2 linked regions of the Neurospora crassa OR74A genome follow. The protein of the gene in region 2 binds, or shares a complex with, the protein of the main gene of each other region. Links are inferred from orthologs where the notes say so. Each region holds a gene or a part of one and is shown on either strand. Other genes may lie near its edges.

Region 1 (3,681 bases), on a different chromosome or scaffold from region 2:
CGGCTGAGGCGGCGGGGTTGATGTTGATGGTTCCGCCAGCTTTGGAAGAGAGGTCTTGCCCTTCGATTTCCGAGTCGGCGAGGAAGTGGACGGATTTTTTGTCCTTCGCAGAGCCACCACCGGCTGTCGTTGGTTGAGCACCGTCGTCGTCTTCCAAATCGCCAAACATGTCTACCTCGTCATCTTCATCGGCATCTTTCCCTGCCCCGTTGGAAGGCTTGTTGTAATTATCCATCATCTCGGCCAGATCCACGTCCTCGGCGTCTTTGCCCTTCTTGCGGCTCTTCCCTCGGGCTTCCGCGCGGTCTTCCAGGTTGTCATTGTCGGAATCGGAATCGTACCCATCGATGTTGACCGCGCCGCGCTTGGTGGCTCGGGAAAGCCCACCGATCACGTCGGCGGCAAGAACCTCCTCGTCAGCTTCGTCGAGGTCGTCATCGTGCGCTGAGGGCGCGAGCGCGGAGGGGTTGCGCACGTCGAACTTGACTTTTTTGTGGGACGGCCCGCTGGAGGTGTCGTCGTCGTCGTTGGAGCGCGATTCGCCGTGGTGGGCGCGGGCGTAAGCTTCGCTGGCGCGTTTGGGGCGCGCGGCGGAGAAGCGGGAGGACATGGTGGTGGCTGTTGTCTTCAATCTCGTGTGTTGGTGTGTAGGCGTTGACGTCAGCGTGTAAAGGTTATGTCGTCTTGATAGAATGGCCTATTCTGCCCCTGTATCGCAGACTTTGTGTAGATATGGCCTGAAATGATGACTGTTTTGCCTGGGTCGACGGCGAATGACAACTCTACAAGTAGAGGATGGTGTTTAAGAGAGGATCTAGATGGCGAATTGGGAATATCAAGGAAGAACATCACTAGAGGTACCTTACCCGTTGTCAGCCCCAACGGATAACATGGAGCTCTCCACTGCCATCAAGGTCCAGAGCGTTCTGCAGTGGACAGGCAGCGCTCAAGGTACCTTTGACCTAAGCGTTTAAGAAGGGGGGGAGCTCGCGCCACGGCAGCACGGTTTCACAGATCTGACGCCACGGCGGCACCTTCTCACCCCGCCAATCCGGGCCGCCGAGGCGGCAGATACATAGAGGTAGGTACTGTACGGTACCCATGCCAGGGCTCCAATTATTACCTAACGTGCCTGTAACTTTCGGGCCCAGTTATGTCATCTGCGTTGTTGCCTTTGGAACCTTCCACGCGGTCAGGTTATTTCAACATCGTCGCAACCTCCCTTTCACTATCGCTTGTCACGCTCTGCTGTTCCGGATCCCACTACCTATTCTGCGAAGCTTACCTCGAGATCTCCCCTCTTAATACAAATTCCCTGTCGTTTCCCTTTCTGCAAAATACTTTACTCCATCTCTAGCAGCTCCCTCGCGATCATGGTAAGCTATCCTTGTCCTCACGCTCGATTATCAAGACAGCTTTTCGACCCCTCTATCTCTTGAAACATTCTAACATGTGCCCATGACAGTATGGAGACATCTACAGTCGCGCCACTGGTCGCTCTCGGGGCGCGCAACGCTTCGATGAGTACTACCGCTGCTACCCCCTTGTCATGGCGCCCGGTGCCGAACGACCTGAACTCAACTACGGCTCCAAGATTCTGCTCCCGCCCTCCGCTCTCGACAAGGTTTCGCGACTACACGTCCAATGGCCCATCATGCTAGAGCTTATCAACGGCTCGCAGGGCACCCACACACACGCCGGTGTTCTGGAGTTCGTGGCTGAGGAGGGCAGGGCCTACATCCCGCAGTGGATGATGCAGACCCTCAAGCTCGACGTGGGCGACATGATTCAGATCAAGACGACATCTCTCGAGCTTGCCAGGCTTGTCAAGCTCCAACCGCAATCGGTCAACTTCCTCGACATCAGCGACCCTCGTGCCGTCCTCGAAAAGGCCTTCCGGAACTTTGCGGCGCTGACCAAGGGCGACGTTTTCAACTTTGAGTACAACGATGAGATCTACGAAATGGCGGTACTGGACGTCAAGCCGGAGACGGCCAAGATGGGTGTCTGCATGATCGAGACAGACGTCAGCGTCGATTTTGCGCCGCCAGTTGGCTACGTCGAGCCTTCGCGACAGACACAAGGCAGTGGTACCAGCACACCACGCAACGGAAGGGCTGTTGGCGGAGGACTTCCGGCGGGTGGTCTTTTGCACAACCAGGGAACCATGGCGCAGGCTATCAACTACGATGCCATCGCACCAGGAGCCACCACCACGTCGGTGGGCAACTTTCAAGGTGAGGGTCTGCGGTTGGCGGCGAAGAAGGGTAGCAAGACGGGAACACCGAAGCCGGCGACGCCGGTGGCGGGTACGTCGACCAACGTTAAGGACGTGGTGCTGCCCAGGAGGAAAAACAACAACGGCCCGTTGCCGTTGCGTCTGCCGCCCAACAAGCTCTTCTTGGGCTACGAGATCAAGCCTGTCAAAACTGCCGCAGATAAGGAGAGGGAGGCGGCGGCGGCGAAGCAGCCGCACTTTGCGGGCCAGGGACAGACGCTCCGGGGAGGAGTCCCGAAGAAGAAGAGCAGCGATGGTGACGACAAGGCGGCGCAAGGCGAGAAGAAGCCGACAGAGAGCAAGGGAAGGCGACTTGACGGCAGGAATGTCTAGGGACAAACTTTCGTTCAACAAGCTTGTTACTAGATGGTTTGATGCATTGTCGGGCGTTAATGGGAAACAGGGTCATGGGAAAGGGAGGTTCACAGTCAAGGGATCACGGAACGTTTGTAGCGTCATTACGAATACACATGGACAGGCCACGATGCGTTTCAAGATAGAAAAGGGCTGTATATGGGATGTTGAGTGCTGAACCGCACGATGTTTACATAGGCCCATGCAGCTGACTAGAATTAGTGAAAAAGGAAATGATACCTCGATGTCCTCCTATAGCTGGAACATGCCAAGGTGATGTTCAACAAGGTCCGCTGGCTCAATGGCAGAGCGTCTGACTACGAATCAGGAGGTTCCAGGTTCGACCCCTGGGTGGATCGAGTTATCTTTTCTTTTGCCAGCATAGTATGCTGCGGCGTCACCAATTTATTTAAAAAAAAAAAAAAAAATTTTAAATTTTTTTTTTCTTTTTGTTCTCTTTTTGATCCCTTGAAATGCCGGAATTTGACTTTGGTGCAAGATGGACATGATACAAAGAGTCCCTGGTTTTTTTTCTTTTTTTTCCTCATTGTGGACGGTGCATCGAGAGCGGCTTGGTCCGTCTTGTCTTTATCTTGAGCAGTCGCTTTGTCAGTGTCATGCCAGGAAGGTCCGGAGTTCTGCCTGCATCCACTTCGAGGTCTCTCCTTCCAGAATTTTGCATCCTTAAAGATTAGTCATATGTCAACGATGCTTGGAACGAATATAGTCGACAACATCAACAGCATGACATTGAGTTCTGATGTTAGTTTAGTACCAGCGGTTTTTTGGCTTTTCCCAGTTGCACTTCCAAGAACTCGGTCGGTCGCATCATTTGAGATAAGTCCTTGATTAGCTAATGTGGGTCGTGCAGCAGGCTGGCTGGGTCCCGTGATTGGTTGAAAAGGGACGAAATCGAACGGCATTGTCGGTTTAGCACTTCCGCACAGTGAGCAAGCAAACCCAAAGCGCCTCCCACTTCCAGGGCATTTATTGATTGACTGACAGGGTTGACCACTTCCTGTTCCGGACTGGTTCTGTGCTCACTGCGA
Region 2 (4,417 bases):
CCCTTGAATATTTTGCTGCAGGTCCCAACCCATAAACGCCATGGAAGAATGCAATTGCTTGCCCAACACAACCCCACACTGCCCTGCCCTCCCATACCTCTCTTCTTATTGTACAGCCACCCCGGAGATCTCTATGCGAGATGCTCACGTCACTCTCATGCACCGCTCGCTAGGACGTGACCTCTAGTTCTTGCCCTTCTTGTTCGACGGCGATGAGGTGACTGAGCTGGTGTCCACAGGGGTACCAGTACCAGCCTCATCCCCTTCCAGTTCCTTCATGAACTCGCTTCTAACGGTGGCCCTGCGCTTCTCCCACCACTCCTTTTCTTGTGTTGCCTGAGCCTGGATCTCGTCAAGGCGCTCGCGCAGCACAGTGTTGGCAGCAATCTCGTTGGCGGTTTGGAAGATGCTCTGTCCCCAGTTGGGAGCGAGTGCGTTGGCCTGAAGAATCGGGCATTAGCATTTCTGGCATCCAATCATCCGCACGGGTAACCCTCTTCAAAGGAACACACACCTCCATAACAACATCACGAAGCTCTTCCTCCATTTCCTTCTCGGCACGCTGGAACCTTTGCCACAGATCATCGCCGATGCTTCCACGCTGCAAAAGAGAGCTGCAGGCGGCCTTGGCGGCGCGGATCTGGATAATACGGTGGATGTCTTCGACAGCGCGGCGCAGCAGAGCCGCCCGGAGCACACTTTCAGGAACTTTAGGTGCCTTTTCGGATCCGTTCTCGGGCTCCATGTGGAGGAGTGACAGGTAGACGTTGCGTTGGAGGTGAGGACCGAACCATGGTGCGAGGTTTGCGCTTTGCTCTGGAAGAATCAACATGGTTAGGCTTCTATCCAGAGAAGCATAGAAATTTCTGAGTAGGGGGTTGCATACGGGCTTTCCTCTTGCGGTAGATTGTGGAAAAGGTCATGAAGGTGCCCGTCAGGACAATCAGATAGGCGAAGGGGAGCACAAGCCCCCGCCAGTCGACGCTGAACATGTTTCGGGATGGAGTGTGTGTCAAATTGACGGACGAGAAATGATGTCTGTATTCTCTACTCTGGAAGAAAGCGAGCGACTAGAGTGAACCAAGAGGCGGTAGGTGGCGTGAGGATTGTCGTCGTGCAACTGAAGGTTGCCCGGTGATGGATGCGTTTGCCTTTTGCGGTTGTGTGAGTGATGGACACCGACGGCAATGTAATCGTGCTTCCCTTGGTTATCAAATGCAGTGCCCATGCCTGGAAAGAACACCTTGACAACTGCAACGGTGCAGCGCGGCAGGGGGAGCTTGACAATGGAATTTCGGCCCTTGGCGCGCGCTGGCTTCATCTGAGTGGCAGGGGCCCATGCCGCAAGTGGAAATCGATGCCTGCCGCGACAGCCCCTTTCTGTCACTCCCAAGTCTTTGAGGGGTGCGGGGCATTGCCGGGCCGGCATTGGGCTCTCTCTCTGACGTGGGACCGGGAGTTTCTTGGCTCTTCTGGAAACCCAGCAGGCATGCCTCGATTGCTCAGCACTTCCCAGCACGCCCCAGCACTCCCGCCGCCCAGGCACACGTATGACGAACGCCTGAAACTATCGTACAGCGTTGCGTGGAGCTCCCCGCCCTTCGATCAGGTCCCGTCTGCCGACCAACAATTCACCACCCGTATCCCGTCACCAGTTGTGCCTTTACCCCGAGTCCGAGGACCTGGCGTGACCTTGTAGATTTTGCGCAACAAGAAGCTTTATTCATAGATACCGCCCTACTTCCGACGCCTACGACACATTTTAAATTCAGATTCCGGATTATACTCGCCGAACGACAGGAACAGACCAGATCCGTCGGACCCTTTAACAGCCCAGACGTCACCTTTTTTTCAGCCCGCCCACGATGTTGTTGAGGGTACGCGGTCCCGATGGCATGCTCCGCCTGACATTGGAGAAAGATGACACCTTTGCGGATCTTGGCCGTCAACTCATTCCCAAGCTTCCCCCGACTGTTGACCCGAAAACAATTACATTCTCGAACCATCCGACCGGCAGCGACGCCAAGAATCTCAGCGAGGTCGCAAAGTTCAAGGTCGGCCAGACTGGGCTCAGGCAAGCTGACCCCTTGGAACTCTCGCGCTGATCTTGCGATTTATGTGCCAGACACTAACTAGCGACCTGAAAATAGCCATGGCGATCTTATTTTTGTCACCTACAAGCACAACGATGCGGCGACCGACGGCCCAGGCAACGGCGAAGCCACCAAATCCAGCGTGCTTTCATCCACGAACCGCCTCAACGGCAAACCGATCCTACCTGCAGAAGACTTGCCCATCGACCCGCCTCCGCTGACATCTCCGCATGAACATATCAAGAACCCGTGGGAAACGGTGAGGCAGTCGCCTCTGGACGATCGGCTAGACAAGCGTGACGGAAAGATCCCAAGGGGGCGCGATCATAAGATGTGTCGCCACGGGCCCAAGGGTATGTGCGATTACTGCATGCCCCTTGATCCGTTTAACGCAAAGTATCTCGAGGAAAAGAAAATCAAGTACATGTCAGTACACGCATACCTCCGCAAAATCAACTCTGCGACAAACAAGCCCGAGCTTGGGGCTTCGTTTATCCCCCCGCTTGTCGAACCCTATTACAGAGTCAAGCGGGACTGTCCATCCGGCCATCCTCAATGGCCCGAAGGTATCTGCACAAAATGCCAGCCCAGCGCCATCACTCTCCAGCCCCAGCCATTCAGAATGGTGGACCACGTCGAGTTCGCGACGCCCCAGATCATCGACAAGTTCCTCAATCCCTGGCGTATGACGGGATGTCAACGGCTTGGTATCCTCTACGGCAAATATCTCGAATACGATGTTGTTCCGCTTGGCGTCAAGGCTGTCGTGGAAGCCATCTACGAACCACCGCAGGTTGACGAGATCGACGGTGTTACTCTCAACGCGTGGGAAAACGAGAAGGATGTCAACGAAGTAGCAAGACTATGCGGACTGGAGCCTGTGGGTGTGATCTGGACGGATCTCCTGGACGCTGGCAAGGGTGACGGAAGTGCCATCTGCAAGAGACACAGCGATTCCTACTTCCTCGCGGCTCAGGAGATCTGCTTTGCGGCGAGGCTCCAGGCACAGCACCCAAAGCCTACCAAGTGGAGCGATACAGGCCGGTTCGGCTCCAACTTTGTCACTTGCGTCATCTCTGGCAATGAGCAGGGCGAGATTTCGATCTCGGCCTATCAGATGTCGAACGATGCGGTCGAGATGGTCAGGGCAGACATCATCGAACCTTCCACGGACCCCGGTCAAATGTTGGTGCGCGAAGAGGAGGAGGACGATGGCTCAGTCAGCAGGACGCGATACATCCCCGAGGTGTTCTATCGCAAGATCAACGAGTACGGAGCAAATGTCCAAGAGAATGCAAAGCCCGCATTTCCCGTCGAGTATCTCTTCGTCACCTTGACCCATGGTTTCCCTGAAAGTCCCCGGCCGGTATTCACGAATGACGGCTTCCCTATCGCCAATCGCGAATTTGTCGGAGAAGCCCAGGAAGCCTCATCAGTAGCAAAGATTCTTAAGGTGAACCAAAAGTCCGACCAATTCGACGTTAGCAACTTCCACTTGCTCTGCTTTATCCGGCAGATGAGCGTGCTGTCCAAGGTCAGCTCACCGTATTTCCACTTGGGTCCGACAGAATACTGACTCTTTCTCGTAGGATGAGGAGGCACTCCTTTGCCGCGTAGCAACACAACATGACCTTGCCGACGCCTTCCAACTCCGGGCGACAGAGGGGTGGAGGACCCTGCACATGATCTTGGAATCCACTGGTGAGAGACTTCCCAAGCGCCCCAGAACTGAGGATGCTAGTTTTCCCTCGGTTGACAGATCCTACCTCAGCCACCACCCATTGATGCAAAGGAATCACAACTCGACGGATGAACCACTTGCTAAGCGTTTTGCTGCTGTCAGGCTGAACGAACAACGCCCGCCACCGCCTCCACCTCCCGAATAGGATTCGATGGACGTGGACTGAGGATACGCATGGCTTAATAATGTCACCATCAACTCTGATCACAAGGCACGGAGCTGAGGGATCAGGTCCTTCAACAAAAGGCAACACAGGGTTTGGAGCTTCATCTGCGGCGAAACTTTCATTCTGGACCGACCTCGGCGAAACACATTGAGAACATACAATGGACGCATTGGCGTTGACTTTTGCTGCTTTGATGGAAAATAGACATGAACTGGGCATCAAATAAGACGAAAGGGGTTGAGTAATGGAAAAGATATCCTAGTCTAACAGTGCTGAAGATACTGCTCATGTCGCATTGTGGCTCATGAACATAGTTTCTGTATCAATATGTCATCTACAATTGAGGCGCCAGTGGTTTAGTGGTAAAATCCATCGTTGCCATCGATGGGCCCCGCGTTCGATTCGCGGCTGGCGCAT

The links.
Region 1: the proteins of NCU02680 (region 2) and NCU06856 are in contact, whole or in part, in a cryo-EM structure (PDB 8DAR), measured with the Saccharomyces cerevisiae proteins. The link is inferred for Neurospora crassa OR74A from reciprocal best matches to the Saccharomyces cerevisiae genes NPL4 and UFD1. Residues at the interface, in NP_009729.1 of Saccharomyces cerevisiae: Gln258, Glu292, Gln293, Asp294, Gly295, Leu296, Thr297, Met298, Phe326, Thr327, Asp328, Ser330, Phe340, Cys341, Lys342, Arg343, His344, Asp346, Ser351, Leu353, Glu354, Met357, Arg360, Ser415, Gly416, Ser417, Thr418, Phe419, Pro420, Tyr424; in NP_011562.1 of Saccharomyces cerevisiae: Val232, Leu233, Gly236, Ser237, Met238, Ser239, Arg241, Tyr244, Ile247, Ala248, Phe285, Asp286, Gly287, Glu288, Pro289, Ala290, Lys291, Leu292, Asp293, Leu294, Glu296, Gly297, Gln298, Leu299, Phe300, Phe301, Gly302, Phe303, Met305, Val306.

What each region holds. Positions count from the first base shown.
Region 1 is NC_026502.1:1,742,027-1,745,707, reverse strand, and holds NCU06856 (ubiquitin fusion degradation protein), read left to right. Parts: upstream 1-1,155; 5' UTR 1,156-1,373; coding exon 1,374-1,376; intron 1,377-1,465; coding exon 1,466-2,611; 3' UTR 2,612-2,894; downstream 2,895-3,681. Other genes in the region: NCU06855 (hypothetical protein), read right to left, coding at 1-610. UniProt on the Saccharomyces cerevisiae protein: Functions at a post-ubiquitation step in the ubiquitin fusion degradation (UFD) pathway. Has a role in the endoplasmic reticulum-associated degradation (ERAD) pathway.
Region 2 is NC_026501.1:3,179,452-3,183,868, reverse strand, and holds the start of NCU02680 (nuclear protein localization protein 4), read left to right. Parts: upstream 1-1,521; 5' UTR 1,522-1,865; coding exon 1,866-2,074; intron 2,075-2,150; coding exon 2,151-3,627; intron 3,628-3,682; coding exon 3,683-3,794; intron 3,795-3,864; coding exon 3,865-3,878; 3' UTR 3,879-3,936; coding exon of another isoform or gene 3,937-3,941; 3' UTR 3,942-4,417. Other genes in the region: NCU02681 (translocation protein), read right to left, coding at 184-441, 515-816, 887-992. UniProt on the Saccharomyces cerevisiae protein: Substrate-recruiting cofactor of the CDC48-NPL4-UFD1 segregase. Assists CDC48 in the dislocation of misfolded, polyubiquitinated ERAD substrates that are subsequently delivered to the proteasome for degradation.